Linked DNA regions of Drosophila melanogaster. The protein of the gene in region 3 interacts with the protein of the main gene of each other region in a pairwise test. Each region holds a gene or a part of one and is shown on either strand. Other genes may lie near its edges.

Region 1 (5,266 bases), on a different chromosome or scaffold from region 3:
GCAGATGACATTACAATGACAGCCGAAGGAGTGGACACATATCATTTGGTCAAATCAGCCAATCGCTACAAGTGAGTTTGAAAAGATATATTTTTAAGACATGTGGCAGTTTATTAAAAAGGGAATGCACACACACTTACCTTATGTACATCTTGCCTTAACCTTTAATAAGCTGCCAGTTGTCTTGTAAAGCACGTACTGCACATTTTTCCAATTACTGACCTTAAATTTTCTTATGCAATCCGCAGGGAAGTGAAACGCACAGCTGGAGTCTCGACCACTGACCTTGTGGGCCGCATGTTGCTCCTGACACGCAACCACTTCCGTCAAGGATCCGCGGAATATGATATCGAGAAAGAAGGTAGCTTTAGCTTGTTCCAACGCTTTTCTGGCACATTTTATTTTCATTTTAATGTTCCTAAATCACAGCGAGCACTGTGAATTTGTGCGCCAAATTCATTGTTTCTAACCATTACTAACTTTAATTTTAAGACTACTTTTTGTTTGCACTCTTTTTGTCTTTCATTTCCTGCTGTCGAACTTGTTTATTGCTCTTGCATGCTGTGCATAAATCAAAGTCGATCAATCAGTTACAAGTATGAACAATATTATACAGATATATTCAGTTTATACATGGGCTACGCACGATTAGTTTATGCATTTTCCCCAATAGATTCTTTTTAATTTGCCATAGTTGAACGCAAATAACGCCTTGGTTTATGGTTGCCCTCTACAACTTTACTATTTCTCTTCTTTTTATTTCTATGTACGCACTGTTAACCACTATCAAAAATATAATATAATGTATGAAACCTATGAAAACTATGCTAAATGTTTTGTGCGTGTGCGCGCCCGCGAAATGAATCCAAATGCCGAATGCCCAATGACCAACCTGCAATCAAAATATCCAAATCCGAATCCAAATCGAAATCAAATCCTAAACGTAAATTTTTGCTCTTAAATACACACTTTTGCTCATTTGTCTGCGTTGCTTTACAATACAAAACAAACAAAAAAAGTGTCAATTTTAAAACGACAAATAAAATCCCATCCAGGTTCTTCGAACATGGGTCAAGATTCGGCAGCCAAAAGTCCGTGGACCGGTTGTAGTCAGTTCTTGCCGACTACCCAAAAGATCATACAGTTCAGTGATGGAAAGTCACCGAATCCCGGCGATAAGATTGTAAGTTTAGCCCTCATTATATGTATATAATGTATAATTCATAATTGTCGGTATTTGCAGGTTTATGTGGCTGGCGCCTTCGATCTCTTCCATGTGGGTCACCTGGACTTTCTGGAAAAGGCTAAGAAACTGGGTGACTATCTGATTGTTGGCCTGCACACAGATCCCGTGGTGAACTCCTACAAGGGCAGCAACTATCCCATTATGAATCTGCACGAGCGCGTGCTCAGTGTTTTGGCCTGCAAGGTAGGATTGCAATAGATTCTTTTTTTTAAATATTATCTCATTTTAAAACTTCTTTTTTCCCCCAGTTTGTCAATGAGGTAGTAATCGGAGCTCCCTACTGTGTCACTGAAGAGCTGCTTGAGCACTTCAAAATCGATGTTGTCTGTCATGGACGCACACCCATTGCGCTTGAGAATGGCAAGATCGATCCATATGCCGTTCCCAAGACGCGAGCCATCTTTGAGCTGATCGATTCCGGCAACGAGATGACCACGGAGCGCATCGTGGAGCGCATCATCTCGCACCGACTGGAATATGAGCGTCGCAATCAGGCCAAAGAAAAGAAGGAAATCGAAGCCTTTGAGGCACTTCAACGCCAAAAACAGACCCAAAAGGCCGGCTAGCCGGAACCAGATTCCGACCTCTCACACTAGACGGATGTTTTTTATTTTCTAGTTGCGTTCTTTTAGTTTGTTTTATTTAGTTTGTCTTGTTTAGTATGTCGTCCCCTGATGATGGCGCTTTAATTTTTTGTTGCGTAAAAAGCGAAGCGACGCTGCCTGAGGATTCAGCGCACCGCTCTCTCGATTTCTAGTACAATTTTAGAATATCTGCACATGCGCCTTAATGATATAAGGTTATACACATAATTATATATTTCTAACACATTAACGTAGAATATTTAAAATCTAAATTTTATGTATGTAAGCTCAAAATTTGTAAATTCCCTTTAAAGTACGATGTAAGTGTGAGGAACAACAAAATTGTACGAATAGCATGTTATCCAAACTGTTGCCGAATTGAAAAGCCTTGTACGACTTGTATGTATATATATTCAGCAACGGAAGTAGGATGCCTGGATCAGGAAGTAGCTGCTTTTATCAAATGTAATCTCTGATACTTTGTCCTAATTTATTAATGCATATAGTAAGTGCGAGTTCAAGTTTTATGTTTCCTTGTTTAATCTTAGACTTAAATACATGGCCAAAAATATTGCGAATTCCAAAAAAAAAAAAAACCGGAAGTTTTATATACTTGCCTCGCTAATCACTTTCAGTTCGACGGTTAGCGATTGCTGCCAAACATCTAAATCCATTAGTGGCCGGAGGTCATTCAAGCTGATGAGGATCACGTTGCTGTCGGTCTTGATGAACTCACTGCAGGATTGGTTCGACGACAGTGGCAGCATTGGACGAGCTTTTATCTGTCTGGTGTAGTAACGTGGCAGGTTGGCAGGTTGGACCAGCAGGCGCAGAGTGATGGCCACGCCGTGCAAAGGAGTAGCCACCCAGATGGCCAGGACTTCGTGTTTGACACGCTTCCTTTCCCACAGCACCGAGTGCATGGTGCGGCAGGCGAAGATCATAAGGGCGCTATGCTGCGAGAAGCGGCGGTACTCCACTGGCAGATGGGTGTTTCGGTGACATTTCAGAGGATTAAGGCCAGTGCGCCGATAGCCATAGACCCCCAGCAGGGTGTTGACATCTCTTTCCAGGCTACTAATATGACATGTTAGTGACACTCGCTTGCCCATTTCCAGTTCATAAAACGGAACTCCCATTCCCGGCAGATGGTCACTCAAATAGTGACCCAACAGAGCGCTGGGGTCAACCGAGCATAGGCATCCGTGACATGGGCATGCCACCAGGCGCAGTCGGCTCCACGGCGAATCGCTAGATGTGGTCGCAGTGCTCTTCCTGCTGCTGGACGGCTGCTCGGTCAGCGATTCGAAGTTCTGCAGTTTGAGGAGCAGCTGATCCTCGGGAGCTGGCGCGGCCACCGATGCCGGCAGTCTGTAGTTGGAAAAGTGTTTCGTGTACAGCAAATCTTGCATTTCCTGCAGGCGCTGCTTTCGCCTCTCCTGACGCTTTCGATTCCGGCTCAATCCATGGATGGGAGATTGATCTTTGCCGGAATCGGCGGCCTGGTTGGTACGCGAGGTAAATGGCGCAGTCATTGTGGTAGGTAATCAGGCTTGCCAAAACGACATAATTTTGATAAGAAACTAGACAGATAGACAGATACTAGCAACTTTTGAAAGTCTACTGTGTTGACAAGTAGATCCTTTTGATTTTATAATAGTTAAATATTTATTATTCAGTTGGGCCGAAATCCCGGCGGTACTGCAATACCGGGCCAACCCGCGACAGAGGTGGAGCAAGCCCCTAGCACTCCGTCTGATTCCAAAAATCAGTTTAACATTTGTTGTCCTCCAATGGAGGAACTATCAGATGTTAAGCTGATAAGAACAGATACTACACTTTGATCTTAGCCATAAGGCCGAGAAGCGATAACTTGAAACGGAAAACGAAAAGGGTCTCCATGAGCAAACGGCCAGAAGCAGTTGGGAATTGTAGCACACACAAGAATGAATTCGGGGTAGGTCAGGGATGATAGAACGTAGAGTACGGTAAAAGTGGGTCAGGTAAATAAAATCAAACGATTTACTAAAAATGCTTTTTAGAATTCGATGATAATATAAGATTAATTCAAGTAAGCTACACATTTTTCATTTAAAGGCATCACTTAAAACTTTATTATTACATTCCTTTCACTTAAAGTGCGTGGGTTAAAACACTTAGAACTGTGTAAATAAATATTTTTATATATTAGTAACGTTTTAAAATACATAATTTACTACCAGAAATAAGGCGAGGTATATTTCTTCTTGACTGGATCTCCTTTGTCCATCTATCTCCTGGAGGTCTTAGAGAGGTAGGGCTGGATATGAATTGAAATCCTGGCAAAGACTAAAATTTCAATGGCATGGGGTTTACGGTGGATTCGCAGCTGTGTATGGTGGGAAATGCCATATTATAAAACATTAATATATTATATTGAGATATCAACACCAGTAATGGGTTCTTTAGTACTGATATTCTTTATTCTAACACTGCCGTACTTCTCCTTTAGGTACTTTTGCACATTGGTATTGTACTTGCTTCGGGGATTAACTTCTGCTTTTTTCGCTGATGGACCGAAAGTTTCATTAATATTTTTTAAGGCAGTAGGTTGAGTGGAAGGCAAAAGGTCCGGTTGGAGTTCATCGATTTGTCCCTTCTTTCTTGAGCAGCCTGTTGATTGCAAGGAACTCTGCCGGGAATCCTTATCGAGCTCATCTAAGTAGGAGAAAAACAAGAATAAGTTAAAATTTGAGCACTAATTTTATTTGGCATTTTATTGCCTTTCTGTTTGAGCTCTTCCTTTTCCCGGTCACCAGCTATATTTGAATAGAGCTCCCGATTCCGCGATGAAATGGATTCCGCCTGATTGTCTAGATTTTCAGTATATGTGTTGCTGTTTAATCTCACGTCTTTATAATTTCTCGTGTGCATATACTCGCTGCCATTCGAATTGGATGTTTTAAATAAAGTGTAATTTTTATTTGATGGTTCATTGATAGCACTTAATGGATCCAGCACTATTTTACTTTCCCTTATAACTCCAGAACTTAGGGCGCTGATGGCGGTGGCTTCTTCACTGCCAGGTGACTGAACGGGCAAACTAGTGGGTTGCAAATAAGTGTGCTGGCCGGGATGGAACTGCTTGAATCTCTTAAATATTAGGCATGTTACCAACGAAAATAGAATCGACATGCTGAGAAAACCCATGGCTATAAGGCAGACTATTGCAAAGAAGTTGCTGTCGATGAGGGAAATCCTTTCCATATCCTTTTGCACCACCACACTTATGTGAACCGAATCCTTGCCACCGGGATTTTCCGCCAGACAGGTATAGACGCCCTCATCGCTCTTACGGGCATTAACTATCGTTAGACGTGACACAAAAACATCATGTCCGAATTTTCGAATCTTTGATTCATCCTCACGCAACAGTTCTATGTAGATGCGCTGCTTT
Region 2 (6,239 bases), on a different chromosome or scaffold from region 3:
TACCCTGCCTACGGATGAGCAAGGCAAAGATGCCGGTCAGTATGTAAGTTCATTGCACATTTCCCGTCGCGAATAGTTAGTAAATTGTGTTTTTCTTGCAGGACATCACTGTGGCCATCGTCGGCAAAGACCAGCCATTCACAATTCTCTCTAATAAAGACAGCGCCAAGCATGTGGCGATTGCCAAAGAGAATGACAATGATACGCCCAGGAACGACGATGACGATGATCGCCCATCCCCCCCAGAGGAACCAGCAGCCGGACCACGCGACCCAGAAGTCCTGGTTGCAACCGAGCAGCGTCCATAGGCATTTATAGGGCTATGAAAGCATCTTAACCATTAAAAATGTAAGATTCAAGGATACAATAAAATTGTTCATGCATTTGCATAGATCCTAAAACGGAACAAACTGAATAAATGAATACAAAAAATCAATGTTATGGGTAAAATTTTTTGATTTTAATTTTAAACCTTCATTTATTATTTATTTATAGTATTTATTAAATATTGGTTTTTCGATATAAGTTTTCCCAACTTATTTGCATTTTTCCGATTTCACAGTTCGGTCACACTGTTGGATTAAAAATATTTATCAATGCCGGTATTGAAACATTTCTACTATAAAAAAATGTTGATTGCTTTTAGTGAATGACAAGTTATCCTCTAAGATGGTTTTTATGCCAAATAAAATGTGCCACTTCAGCGGCAACTTGTATATTTATTTGCTCACACCTAAATTACAATTAATTACATAACGAGAGTGATGGCAAATGGTTGATTTAAATAATAAAATTACATGGTTTTCTCATGAGAAAATAAAATTGTTGGTGCCTTTGCTGAAGCGCACGTAAACAGTATATGTTAGACTTCAGTTTTATTTGTTTAAAAAGTTGCTTCGAAAAGATGTACCATTGTTTACAGGAGGAACCCATGTTTTGGATGATAGATTAAGCAACAGGTGTTGTTTTATAGGGTTTTATTGCCGAAAAAGAGTAAAACACTTTAATTAAACGTTGATCCTTGTTCTCGGTTTTTGCAGACAAGATGACTTTGCCCGATCTTGTAGCTGGACTTTCGTCAAATCCCTACTTTGGTGCCGGTTTTGGACTATTTGGTGTGGGCGCCGCTGCTGCCATATTGCGCAAGGGCCTCCAGGGCGGAGTGATACTGTTCCGGCGGCACTGCATGATTACCCTGGAGGTGCCGTGTCGGGACAAATCCTATCAGTGGCTGTTAAAATGGATTACGATCAGAGGAGCGCGAAAAACGCAACACTTGAGCGTGGAGACAAACTTTGTGCAGAACGACAATGGCACAATCAAAACCAGCTATGACTTCATACCCAGCATAGGCAAGCATCTGTTCCAGTACAAGGGCAATTGGATTCAGGTGGAGCGGACCAGGGAACAACAGACATTGGACCTTCACATGGGTGTTCCTTGGGAGACAGTGACGCTTACAGCGTTTGGTAACAATAAAGGTATATATTTCGATATCCTCGAAGAGGCTAGGCAGCTGGCTCTGGAGGCCACAGAGGGCAAAACCGTGCTGTACACAGCGATGGGTGCGGAATGGAGACCCTTCGGACATCCGCGCAGAAGGCGTCCCACTGGATCGGTGGTGCTGGATCGCGGAACTTCGCAGCGAATCATTGCCGACTGCCAGGACTTCATTAAGAGCTCTCTGTGGTATACGCAACGTGGAATCCCCTACCGAAGAGGCTACCTTCTGTACGGGCCACCTGGTTGTGGCAAGTCTAGCTTTATAACCGCCCTGGCGGGCGAACTGGAGTACAGTGTCTGCCTGCTAAACCTATCCGAAAGAGGCCTCACCGATGATCGACTCAATCATCTCCTGAATGTTGCGCCAGAGCAGAGTATCATTCTGCTGGAGGACATCGACGCAGCATTCGTCTCGCGCGAAGCTACTCCGCAGCAGAAATCCGCCTTTGACGGTCTCAACAGGATAACGTTCAGTGGACTCCTAAATTGCTTGGACGGTGTGGGCTCCACGGAGGCCAGAATTGTCTTCATGACAACAAACTACATTGACCGCCTCGATCCCGCCTTAGTTCGTCCTGGTAGAATCGATTTAAAGGAATACATTGGCTATTGTACGCAATATCAGTTGGAGGAGATGTTCAAGAACTTCTTCGCCAGCAGTGACACCACAAAAGCCGAGGAGTTCGGAAAACGAGTGAATTCCTTTGGACGCTCCGCTAGTCCGGCGCAAATTCAAGGCTTTTTCATGAAGCACAAACTGTCCTCGCCGCAAACTGTTATTGATTCTTGTGAAGATATCTGGGAAAATGTTTTAGATCATAATAAAAAGATTAATTGAATTGTTGTGGATTTTGTTTACTTGAAGCTCTTTAAGACAAGACTGATGTCCCTTTTGGGTCTTAATTAATTAAAACATCTATCAATTTTACTGTCATTCGATATTAGTTTATGTCATTGTTTTCGAATTTATTTCATTTTTCAATGATTTAAGATTATCCATTCGTTTTTATGCATAGTTGCACGTGTAATTCCCAATCGAACTCACCTAAATGAAGGTCTTGTTTTATATTATGATTTAATTACATTTTTATAGGTAATTTAAAAATATGAACTATGTTCTAAAATATATGTATATTTTATGTGACATTAAGTTTGATTAGTCCTTTGATCTTCTGGGCCTACCGACCTTTCCTTTCCTTTGTCCAAGCGTTCCATTCGAGTTGGCGGGGCCCTTAAGTAATTTGTGCCAATCTTGTTCACACACCAAGCTAGCTCCTAACATAGTATACCTGCAAAAAGAAAAAGCAATTCCATTTCAAATTCGCTCTTCACTGCAGTGTGTTGTTAGGCATACCTATCACCAGGACGCAGACTGGATCCACACTTAGCACAACTAAAGCACCTTAGATGAAATACGCAATTAATTATTTGTTTTTGTTGATTTTGTAAATCGATATTATTTATTCCAGTAAGTGCTTTCGCTACCAGTTCACTTGGCGGTATAGTTTCTCCGCAGCCAGAACAAACTCCGGAGCACCCGAACATGCTGGAAAATAAATGTGAACTTGAACACAAGGAACATAATCTAAAGAGTATCTAAATGGTTGACGCCATTAAGTAGGCAACATGTTTTTAAGGAAGCTGAAATAATCTTTTCAGTCGAATGCGTGCGTACCTGGAATAGTCCTTTTTGCAAAGAATCAGGCCTCGCCTCGTAAAACAGCTGGAACCCACTTCTGCTAGCATAGCTCCACAGCAGTGACATTTAAGGCAGCCATTGTGCCAGTATCTGTCCAAAGCGTATAAAAGATATCTATCACTTATTTTATCTGCAAGCGAAACAGAGAAAACGTGAGTTAAGTTATTGTAGCTCATAGATGAATCGATTCAAGGAACTTACCTCCACAACCACCACACACTTTAATAAGGGAGTTGGAATGAATTAACTGCTGATTATTGAAATCGTTTGAAGATTCGTCCATGAACGATAGCTGAGACGATGAGATATTCGAGTTGGTCTCCACAGTGTCCTTTGTGTGGTTTGAGTTTCTATAGTCAATTACTATGGGGGCGAAGTTCTCAGGACTAGATGAGTCTTGGTGATGTGCCGCTAGTATGTCTCTGTATGAATGGAACGTTGCATTCATTGCAAATAATGTTGATGACTTAAGTCGTAGAAGGCATATGGGTCCTGTTTATGGTTTAAACCTGAAAAGTACAGAAACATGTATTGATAGAGGGAAATGTGTTAAATATATTAATAAAATCACCTTTTAACATGTGCAAAAATGAAGCCTAGTCGTGGAACTCCATAATTGCCGTGTTTCTACCATAAACTCAACGCATAAACCACATAAAATATCTAAAATAGGTTTAAAATAATCAATTATTTTTTAAGGAGCAGTGGGCTTACAGATAAATGTTAAGCTTAGTAAGGAAAAATATAAATGCATCTCTTTTAGTACAATTACGCCGATTTTGAAAAAAAATTCAAACTACCATCCAGAATTTTCACTAGAAGGTAATAAAATATTTATTTTATCAATCGATGACAGAACGTGCTATTCACGCCATTTCTCGCCGATTGCGGATGCAAAAATAGCGACAGGCAATCAGCAAAATAAATGACTTTTGGATTTTCGAAAGCGATCCAATTTGAAATTATTTTTGAATCATTGCATTCTGCACAGCTGTCATTACATACAAATTGATTATATACGCACGTACGTACATATGTACATAAGTAAAACACCCAAATGACCATACATACATACACACACTCGCAGCGAACGCTTGCAATGTACGTACATATATGTGTGTATCAAACTGCGGTCTTACGCCGATAGATTAATCAATATTTAATGTTTGTAATTTGCACTGTTCATTACGGCGAACTAAAACTTCAAACTGGCAAACTTGACGTTTATGTACAGAAATACTGATTTGCTGTCAGTGGCACATTTGAGCGAAATTTTGTGTACATATATATGCTGGTATTTGTTTCACTTAATCACTCGACTAAACGGGGTTTTTGTAAACAATAAACACAATATTCACTTACACACTCATCAATTAATTATTTAAAAGCGAAAATTTCTTTGACAACACCATGAGGAACAGTAAAATCGCTTTGGTTTCAAACACCATTTCTTGTATACGACTTTACATACCAAACTAATTCATAGATATGAAAGCAAGCAATCCGCGATTATACAGGGTGCACCGTGTACACTTCCACATTTTAATCGGTCAATTCAGTTATTTGGCTGTATAATATCGCAGTCAGTGATGATGTCTTGGCTTTTTTCTATTTATATTGAGGTTGAATAAGATAAGCAATAAAATAAATTTTTATATTTACCTATGTATTTAAGTTAAAAGAATACCAAATTTATAAGACATTTATCCATCCATTTTATTCATTTTATATATGGATAATCGCTGTGATCACCGATATTTTTCTATTCCGGTGGAAAACATTTATATTTTCGTTTGCGACCGAGAAATTTCATATGATGATAAAATAAACATTTAAAATGTTGTCTTTCATATGTTTTGGCTTACATAAATTGGACTACTGTGGTATTCTTTGAAAGACGTTTTCAGTGAGAATGCATCGAGTGGAACAGTGTGGGAAAGAAACATCTGGGATGGTCTAAATTATATCAAATTCTTCATCCCATCGGAATGAATGGAAAATGCGATATAAAACTAGATATGCCAAACCAAAAGCAGCTGACGCGTACAGCTGAATCGCCTAAAATAGGCGGGGTGATGGTTAACTCTACAAAGGGCCAAGCCCACGTTGGGTTGAGGTACATACCGAAAAGACTGGTTCAAGTATCAATCATGGGATTAATGCTACTTTGTATTAACCCTGACGTCCCCTCTCTTTCTTTAATGACGTAATAAAATTATGATGTGACTCATAACCAAAAAAAATAAGCTTTTGAAGGTCATGTACTATTTACGTGTACTTTATGTCGATGCTTTCAAACAACCAGATCATCGATTAACGCTTCGAACTATGAAGAAAACGGATGGAAAATATGCTGATTACCATCTATACGTGGTAATAGAGATCCCAAAACAGTAGGGTTCCTCTACAGTATGTCTTTTCTTTAAAACGCAGAGAAAATGAATTTAGACATTATATATAAAAGTATTTAAACAAATTATTTATTCATATATGGTAATTCTTAGTTTAGGTTTTCTTGTAAAATAACAATTTCTTAACTTAACTATGGATTAAAATGTCTAAGAAGTTAAATCAATGGAAATTATACGCCCAGTGCCATTGAAAGGCGGAGCCGCGGAAATCGCATCAAACGTACTACTCTCAGTAGTCTGATTTGTAGTGCTTTTTTTCGAATTAGCCGAATGAGCGTACCAGTCTGTGAGTGCGACCAAGTTCTTAGAAAAATTGCAGTTTTCCTGATTGTATTCCTTTCTGTGTCCCTCAGAATCAGCAAAAGTATTCGATGTACTCAGGGAACCAACCAGTGAATGATTGGCTATCGAGTCTACGGTACAGCGACTAATTACTGAATTAGCCTTATAGTTTGAATAAATATATAAAGATTGCTGTAGGGGCTTAACCGAATTATCAACTATTACTGATTCTGGCTCTGGAGCACATTTACTTGGCTCGACGACGCGGCTACTGTACAAATTTCTGTTGTTATGTGTAAGTTTTATTACAGTCAGTGCATCCGAGCCAAGTCTTTTGGGCGAGC
Region 3 (9,157 bases):
TCGTCAAAGTCACTCATGGTATCTTCCTTAAAAAAGTCTTCCTCCTGGGCCTCTTGCTTGTCATGTGGCAACAGATCCTCCTCCTCTATCTCGTGGGCCACCTCCTCTATCTCGTGGGCCACCTCCTCTACCTCGTGGGCTTCCTCTTCGTTAATGATAATCTCGTTGTCGATATCTAGCTCTAAGTCTACGGAGTGGAACTCATCCTCCTCCTCTGATTGTTTGATAATGAAGGTGTGCTCCTCTTCGGCCACTTCCTCCACGATGCCGGCGGGACCGACCAGGGTGACGGTGGTGCCCACGCTCTCCAGTTCCTGCTCCTCCTCGTCCTGTTGCTGTGCCTCCTCAATATTCCCATCGAATTTGCTTATGGTGGTCTCTCGGTCGAGATCGTCCTCTTTGTAGGAGGTCTGCTTGTGGTCCTTGGACATGTAGGGACTGTGGATCAGTTCCAGGATCTCCCCTCGCAGCTTGCGCGCTATTTGTATGGACTTGTGGTATCTGGCGAGCTTCTCGCAGCACTTCTTGCAGATCGTCGACGATTCCTCCGTGAGGACGTAATTCGTGCCCCGGGTGCACTGCAGTACCAGTTCGCTGATCAGCACCGGCGGATGTCCGACGGTATCGGTGTGAATGTCCTTCGGTACGCGTACCGAGAATTGACAAATGCAGCAATTCATATTTGATTGAAATTTATTTACACTTTCGGGGCAGTGTGACCGTGCCCTGAAGAAGGCTCCGATTGCACAGCTATCGGTTATCGACGATGTGATCTGGTTCAATTTCCAAATTTGAACTTTGGCTGCTAACCAACAAAGCAGATCTGAAACTCAAAATCAAAAGCTGAAAATTTGTAACACCCAGCGAAAAAACAAATCGATATGTAGCCATGTATTTACTAATTTTTTGTTGTATTATAAATTGCCAACAGGGCAGTTAGGAAAAATAAAACAAGCTTTCAAACGCCTTCACTGATACGCGTTCAGATTCTTTTTGGGCAAGATGATGTTGTAATGCTGGAATTTGGTCCAAGACAGCAGTATGTCCTTCGTCCTGCCGTGCGGCGCCTCCCCAAAAGTCTGCAGGCAGTCTCTTTAGTAATCAGGTTGATCGTAGCCAACTTCATCCACTTACCTTGCAGCACCCGTAAATTTTCATTACTTTCTTGTCCTCCTTGTTGCTGATGAACCCTCCACCCAGGCATTTGGCGCAAATTCCAATTTTGTCCATCTCCTTTTGGATTTCCTCAAAGATTTCCTCTGGCGACAGAACGATTAGAACACGTATTAGCTATACTGATTATTAGAACTAACCGTGGTCCTTGGAGGCGGATCCTCTTACAATGGTCCTGCCGAACCTAGTTAAACCGTGCATGTGAATCATCATCAAAAGGTACTTGTTCTTGCCTTTAGAAAGCTGAACTCTAGGAACATTTATCAAAAGGGCGTTTACGCGCGAAGAACTTTGCCTTCGAAGGGGCTTCAACAATTGTGAAACAGGTGCCAAAAGATTCAAGGTTTTCATTTTGGAAAAATTTTAGGAAAACGCACTGGAATTTAGATGAAATATTCCGAAAAGAAACTGGTATGAACGGTAGCAAGGCTCCAGCTAGACTGATTTTGTCAGAAGCCTTCCGGTCGTATGCTAAATTCAAGACTGACACGAAAATCGGAGCACATGTGATCATTCAAAAAGTACTAAGCCCTTGTATCTTGTGAAAGAAATTTTTGTATGAACTAAACTATAAATGCAAAATTACTCTTCTTTCTACTCTCTCCAGAAATGGAAATATCAACCATATTCCGCCAATTACAATCGCCTGTTCGATTACCCCTTAATAATATTGAAAGAGCGCTACTTTTATATTCTATTTTCTTTTTATTAGTACTGAATTTCCATTTTCGAAATTTATGCAACTTTATTGTTTAACGGTTATCTTAAAGTCCTTATAAGTGGTCCACGCTTGAAGTATATTCCTTGTCCTTGTGTGATCAGCACCGCCGAAAGTCTAGGGAGACCCATCAAGAACCATTAGCCGGTGCTTCAAGGACCAAGGATCCTCTACTTACCCTGGAGGTGCCATAGATCTTAATTTTTTTATTTTCTGCCTCGTTGAGAATCCTTCCACCACCGAGGATTTTGGCACATATGCCCTCGGGTTCCAGCTCCTCCAAAATCGAGTCGAAGACCGCCACTGAAAGAAGGATTTGTAAGACTGCTCAAGGTTAAGCGTCCAGCAGTGGAAACTCACAGTGATTGTCAACATCGGCGCCACGGACAATAACTCTTCCATACTTCGTGAAGCCATGCGTATGAATATTCACCAACAAATAACGATTCTGACCCTTGGTTATCTTGACCCGGGGAACGCCTACCAAACTTATCAAATCGGTTGAGTAACATTTTTCTAAAACCAAGTATATTAGGGCTTGTAAATCTTAATATTGAATATTCCTAAGCCTTACGAAACGGAGAAACAATATGAGGAAGCAGACGCAATGACTTGAACATTTTCATTTTATTTAACCAAAGGAAAAGAAACGAAATTTGTGTACAAACTGATTAATTTAGATCCGAAAAGGTTTAGTGCGAGCAGTTGCAAAGCTACAGACTAACTGCCTTTCAGAGCATTTCTCAATTTTAAATGCCATTTCCAATAAAATCATGGCACACAGGATCAAAGCCAATGGTATAAATTCATGTCAGTGTGCTTATGTGGAGTCTTCTCTCGTTGATTGCAGCTAATATCCCTCATCGGAGATTTCGATCGTGTAGTCCGGGTATTTGGTGGCCAGGATGCGTTTGGTCTGCGCGTGATCAGCTTTTCCAAAGCCCTTAAATAGAAAGACTTGATTAGAACTCCAGAAAATTTTTCAAGTAGTTAGATACATCAGTCCATCCACTGCCCAGCGACCCCTTTACTCAAGGGAATAGACCCACCTGCGAGTATCCGTAGACCTTCAAGTACTTCTTCTCGGGATTGTGTTCAATGCGACCGCCGCCAGGACACTCGGCCCGCAGCCCCAGTTTTTTAAAGACCTCCTCCTCGCGCTCGAAGATGTCGGCTGTGGGACAGTAACCAAGCTAAGTGGGCACTTGATGGGTGATGAGGATCCGACTTACCATGCCATGTGCAGTCCGCAAATCCGCGGATCACCGCCTTTGAAGCATCTCCTCCATCGAAGACATTGATCATGACATACTTGAAGATGCCCTCTGGACTGATGTGCACCAGTGGCACGCCGGCAAGTGCTTCCTCGGACATTTTGTGAATCAGTCGTAGTCCTTTGGAAAGCAGTTGGAGGCGATTCATTGTGGAAAAGTGTTTGAAAACAGAATTTAATGTCTTACCAACCGGCAAATTTTCCAAAAACGCTGCTTTAGTCCAGCAATGTGACCAGATACTTTTATTCTCGTTCACCTTATGTATCGATACTATTAAAATTATAATATTCAGTTATTTCTTTAGTACATTTGGGAAAACGTTTTTTGTACTACTCAGTATATTTTAGTAATAATTAATAAACTCAAAAAGAAAACGTTGTTATCAGTGACAGCAAATTTATCGATTACGCCGACAGCACGCAGTCGATACTATCGGCACTATCGGCACAGCTCTGGCGTTCACAACAAAATATACACAAATTAAATTGTTTAAGCCGAATTTTCGATTGGATTCCACGGCGACTAGATGAGCTCCACGCGTCCGTTTTGCTTCGTTTGCGGCAAGGAGAAGTCCGTGGGGGTGTTCCAGCTGATAGAAGGTAACGTTCGCTTACGCCGCACTCGAAAGTCCTGATAGCCGACTTTTTCACAGGCTGCATTGTGCCAGGAACCTTTAAGCCCATCAAGGATATACTGAAATACTTCGAGAAGATCATAAACCAGCGGCTGGAGCTCCTGCCCAACTCGGCCGCCTGCCGGGACTGCCTGGAGTACCTCTTCAACTACGACAGGCTGGTGAGGAATCTCAGCCAAGTGCAGCGCCAGATTGCGGACGCACTGCTCGGCTGCAGGCAGGTGGAGGGCAAGGCGGAGACCAAGCAACAGGCGGCAAAGAGGGCCCGCGTCCAGGTGCCGGCCTTCAAGATCGTCCAGGCCACCGCCCTCAAGGAGCCCGAAAGGCAGCCGGGCGAGGAGGATGAGTGCGAGGAATTCATGAAGGAGGAGATGCTGGACGAGGAGTTCCAGTTCAGCGAGCCGGACGACAGCATGCCGTCGTCGGAGGAGGAGTTCTTCACCGAGACCACCGAGATACCCTGCCATATCTGCGGCGAGATGTTTTCCAGCCAGGAGGTGCTCGAGCGGCACATCAAGGCGGACACCTGCCAGAAGAGCGAGCAGGCCACCTGCAACGTGTGTGGCTTGAAAGTGAAGGACGACGAGGTACTCGATCTGCATATGAACTTGCACGAGGGCAAAACAGAACTTGAATGCCGCTACTGCGACAAAAAGTTCTCGCACAAGCGGAACGTCCTGCGCCACATGGAGGTGCACTGGGACAAGAAGAAGTACCAGTGCGACAAGTGCGGCGAACGCTTCTCGCTCTCCTGGCTGATGTACAACCATCTGATGCGCCACGACGCCGAGGAGAACGCCCTGATCTGCGAGGTGTGCCACCAGCAGTTCAAGACCAAGCGCACCTACAAGCACCACTTGCGCACCCACCAGACGGACCGGCCGCGCTACCCCTGCCCCGACTGCGAGAAATCGTTCGTGGACAAGTACACCCTGAAGGTGCACAAGCGGGTCCACCAGCCGGTCGAGAAGCCAGAGTCGGCGGAGGCCAAGGAAGCCACCGTCACGTTCTTTTAGGGTAGTCCTTTGCTAGATTAATCTAAGAAGCCCAGCTCATGGGTGCATTAGCGCGCGTATGTATCATAAAATTAAATCTAAACAATTATTGACGGAAAGTACCAGTTCTTTGCCGTTCTTCGCCCATTTTCCAGGAACCCCAGTAGGTAAAGTAGCGGATTTCGCGAATTTTCGCGGGTATGGCAATAAAACAGGCAGATGTTTTTTAATCCCCAAAATAGGTCCTTTCTACCTGTGCGCTTGGCAAAGTATATAAAGGTGTTGCGTCGTCCGCCAGAACTTAGTTGAACATTTCTGTTTCCCGGAGCACATCTGATAGAACAGCATGGAACAGCTATTGGCCCAATTACACACTTGCAGTGAGCTGATTGCAGAGGGCTACAGCAGCACCGGCAACATTGGCTGGCTGAACGAGTTCTGCGCCACTTTCCTGGACTTCGCCAGCGATCTGAAGGCTAGGCTGCCGGAGGTGGCGCCCAGTGGCGCAAACCTTGATGTGGAGACCATCTTCCTGTGCCTCACCCAGGTGGTAACCTGCATCACCCACCTAGAGCGGACCATCAGCATGGAGGCACCGCATATGACCAGGCAGCACTTCCTCGACCGCTTGGACTGGTGCTTGCGGCGACTGCTCGTCTCCTTGACGCAACTGGAAGGCAACGTGACCCCAGTCAAGAACCTAGAGGATCACTCCTTCGTTGAGCTCATGGACCTGGCTCTGGACCACTTGGATGACTACATGGAGAAGCTGGCCCAGCAGAGAAACAACTCGCTGCACATTCTAGAAGAGAGCTTCACGGAAGACACCTACCAGCTGGCCAGCATAGTTAATCACATCGTTCGCCACGCCCTGGCCTTTGCCAATGTGGCCATTCATTCGGACAAGAAGGCTTTGACGGCTTTGTGCGAGACCTTGCTCGCCGAATGTGCCACTTTCCACGAGGAGGCGGGCGAGCCCAACAGTGGTCATCGGAAGCTGGAGGCCCTCTCCCTGGAACGTGCCCTCTATGCCCTGGAATCCTTTCTCAATGAGGCGCTGCTGCACTTGCTGTTCGTCAGTCTGATAGATCTGGAAAACGCTTCGGTGGAGAAGCTAAAGGATGCACTGCAAAGGGATCCTGCGGGAGCTCAGGAGCTAATCTCCGCATTCGACACGAACATGGATCGCATTCAGCAGATTGGGGTTCTGGCCATAGCCTTCTCGCAGGACATCAAAACGAAGACGATTGTCAGGAGCTGCCTGGCCTCACTGGAATCCCTGGATGCGTGCATTGTGCCCGCTCTCCAGCTGCCAGAGTCCACTTCATCCGCACACCACGCGGAGGTCTTGCAGGAGCATTTTAACCAGGAGCTGCTGATCTTTAGGAACGTCATCCACGAAATCATCGATAGCTGCTCCCTGATCAACAACTACCTGGACATGCTGGGCGAGAGGATCCACGTACAGGACAAAAGCCATCTGAAGCTGATTGTCCAGAGGGGCGGAGTGGTGGTGGATCACTTTCGGCTGCCCGTCAATTACTCGGGACTCAGTGAAGATGGCAAGCGGGTGCACAAGGACCTCATTCTGATCCTGCGCGAGTGCCAGGCCGTGGTCAACCTGGACGTCCCAGTGGATCCCAAGCGCATCGTGAAGCGCCTTAAGATACTGTACTCCGTGCTGGCCAAGCTGAGGGACTTGATATGCAGGGATAATCTGGAGCCCGATTCCTCAGTTGCTTCCGAAGCTCAAGTGCCCTCAAGTGCAACCCGAACTTTTGTGCGGAGCAGTCGATCCTTTGGCAAACGGCATCGATCCTTTGTAAAACAAACCGGAAATTGCTCAGTTTTCGGGCCACAGGACTCACTTGCTGAATCCGGACACAGCGAAAGCGATCTTATTAGTTTCCAAATCACTGAGATTCTTAGGTTAGATTGAGTGGGGCGAGCCATATTCTAAATACGCGGGCTTATCTGTATGAGATTTTTTTTAATACTTCATTGGCTTGAAGTGCTTAATTAAGATTAAACATATCCTTACAAAGATTCTAATTAGCTACCTAAGTCAATTGTGTTCTTTACACTTATGTAATTACTTCATTAAGTTGAAGCCATTCGCATAATTTATATAAAATACAATTAAAACATACCATTATAAAAAAATTATATAATTCAATTCAATTTTTTCAGGGAATCAATAAATTAAATGCTACTCGTTTTCATAACTAAAGAAACCAACACCACCATAATAATCAACAACAAATTATGTATTTATGCAAATTGAATATCCGTTTGCAATATTGAGCAAACACATATTTTTATTATTCAACTCATATATTTCAGTTTTCACACCCTGTTCCATTCCCACCGTTCCGTTCCTGGCATCAATCGGCATCGTTCGCCAGCCCTGGTGGGCATTATGCCATGGTTGCATTTCACGCATTTTAGTATAGCTTCCGATATTCATCATTTTGCCAACTCTATTAAATTTCATACACAATTTAAAAGATTGTAAACAAACGCCGCACGAAACGGAATCGCTAAAAGGACCATCGTCGGCGCAATGGATACTTGCTTCTTCTGCGGCGCCGTCGATCTGAGCGACACGGGCTCCTCCAGCTCCATGCGCTACGAGACGCTGTCGGCCAAGGTGCCGTCGTCGCAGAAAACAGTGTCCCTGGTGCTCACCCACCTGGCCAACTGCATCCAGACGCAGCTGGACCTGAAGCCCGGCGCCCGGCTGTGCCCGCGCTGCTTTCAGGAGCTCTCCGACTACGACACGATCATGGTGAACCTGATGACCACCCAGAAGAGGCTGACGACCCAGCTAAAGGGCGCTCTAAAGTCCGAGTTCGAGGTGCCGGAGTCCGGCGAGGACATACTCGTGGAGGAGGTGGAGATACCCCAAAGCGATGTCGAGACAGACGCCGATGCCGAGGCGGACGCCCTGTTCGTGGAGCTGGTCAAGGATCAGGAGGAGTCCGACACGGAGATAAAGAGAGAGTTCGTGGACGAGGAGGAGGAGGAGGACGACGACGACGACGACGAGTTCATCTGCGAGGACGTGGATGTGGGCGACTCCGAGGCCCTGTATGGCAAGTCCTCCGATGGCGAGGACAGGCCGACGAAGAAGCGCGTCAAGCAGGAGTGCACTACCTGCGGCAAGGTGTACAACTCCTGGTATCAACTGCAGAAGCACATCAGCGAGGAGCACTCCAAGCAGCCCAACCACATCTGCCCCATCTGCGGGGTGATCCGGCGCGACGAGGAGTACTTGGAGCTGCACATGAATCTGCACGAGGGCAAGACGGAAAAGCAATGCCGCTACTGCCCCAAGAGCTTCTCGCGCCCGGTGAACACCCTGCGCCACATGCGCATGCACTGGGACAAGAAGAAGTACCAGTGCGAGAAGTGCGGCCTGAGGTTCTCCCAGGACAACCTACTCTACAACCACCGGCTGCGCCACGAGGCTGAGGAGAACCCCATCATATGCAGCATCTGCAATGTGTCGTTCAAGTCGCGCAAGACCTTCAACCATCACACGCTCATTCACAAGGAGAACCGCCCAAGACACTACTGCTCCGTCTGCCCCAAGTCCTTCACCGAGCGCTACACCCTCAAGATGCACATGAAGACCCACGAGGGCGACGTCGTTTACGGGGTTCGCGAGGAGGCGCCCGCCGACGAGCAGCAGGTGGTGGAGGAGCTGCATGTGGACGTCGACGAATCGGAGGCGGCCGTCACCGTCATCATGTCCGACAACGATGAGAACAGCGGCTTCTGTCTCATTTGCAATACCAACTTCGAGAACAAGAAGGAGCTCGAACACCACTTGCAATTTGATCACGACGTGGTCTTGAAATAAGCTACATTGCCTACAATAAGTAATTGTTTATCTTTCCCTAGTGTATTTCCTCCTCTTTGTACTTGATTATTGTAGATTCCTACAAAATATAATTTACTGGTATTTCAATTACTGCGTTTCATTTAGACAGAAGCATTTCCGATAATAATTGTACACTGTTCTGTAAAAATAATTGCGAATATATATATGATTTCATATAAACAACCTCTTTCAATACTAAGGGGGAAAAATGTAAAATATATAACAAAATTCCCTGATAAGGATTGATGCTGTCTAGTTTTGGCACGTCAAGGAATTTATATTGGTCTAATATCTCGAGGCAGTTGCTATCAGAAAGAAAGACCGCAATGGTCTGGATTAACTGATATCCATCCAGATAATGCACATGTTATCAATGGTGCTGCTATCCCAATCTCAGAAATGACAATTGAACTCGGCACTCGCACATCATTTTTTAACTAAAAGTCCGGTATATTAACGTTTACAAATGTGTATTCC

The links. The genes of interacting proteins can lie anywhere in the genome.
Region 1: the proteins of Sry-alpha (region 3) and CG15482 interact in a two-hybrid assay, tested with the Drosophila melanogaster proteins (one large-scale study listed by BioGRID).
Region 2: the proteins of Sry-alpha (region 3) and CG5708 interact in a two-hybrid assay, tested with the Drosophila melanogaster proteins (one large-scale study listed by BioGRID).

The regions. Positions count from the first base shown.
Region 1 is NT_033779.5:13,208,417-13,213,682, forward strand, and holds CG15482 (uncharacterized protein), read right to left. Parts: upstream 3,399-5,266; 5' UTR 3,366-3,398; coding exon 2,436-3,365; 3' UTR 2,357-2,435; downstream 1-2,356. Other genes in the region: Pect (phosphoethanolamine cytidylyltransferase), read left to right, coding at 5-71, 249-361, 1,020-1,183, 1,244-1,429, 1,495-1,812; kek4 (kekkon 4), read right to left, coding at 4,241-4,527, 4,593-5,266.
Region 2 is NT_033779.5:10,222,101-10,228,339, forward strand, and holds CG5708 (uncharacterized protein), read right to left. Parts: upstream 4,709-6,239; 5' UTR 4,565-4,708; intron 3,866-4,564; 5' UTR 3,774-3,865; intron 3,712-3,773; 5' UTR 3,651-3,711; coding exon 3,404-3,650; intron 3,333-3,403; coding exon 3,179-3,332; intron 3,050-3,178; coding exon 2,858-3,049; intron 2,793-2,857; coding exon 2,660-2,792; 3' UTR 2,357-2,659; downstream 1-2,356. Other genes in the region: Prosalpha6 (proteasome alpha6 subunit), read left to right, coding at 1-43, 102-308; Bcs1 chaperone, read left to right, coding at 1,046-2,341; ova (ovaries absent), read right to left, coding at 5,761-6,239.
Region 3 is NT_033777.3:30,036,122-30,045,278, forward strand, and holds Sry-alpha (serendipity alpha), read left to right. Parts: upstream 1-3,597; 5' UTR 3,598-3,691; coding exon of another isoform or gene 3,692-3,764; intron 3,765-3,817; coding exon of another isoform or gene 3,818-4,815; 5' UTR 4,816-5,140; coding exon 5,141-6,733; 3' UTR 6,734-6,950; downstream 6,951-9,157. Other genes in the region: ZIPIC (Zinc-finger protein interacting with CP190), read right to left, coding at 1-680; ocn (ocnus), read right to left, coding at 969-1,079, 1,135-1,259, 1,314-1,524; janB (janus B), read right to left, coding at 1,919-2,008, 2,070-2,194, 2,252-2,407, 2,466-2,517; janA (janus A), read right to left, coding at 2,742-2,834, 2,941-3,065, 3,124-3,313; Sry-beta (serendipity beta), read left to right, coding at 3,692-3,764, 3,818-4,815; Sry-delta (serendipity delta), read left to right, coding at 7,358-8,659. UniProt on the Drosophila melanogaster protein: Required for the cellularization of the syncytial blastoderm embryo. Involved in the localization of the actin filaments just prior to and during plasma membrane invagination.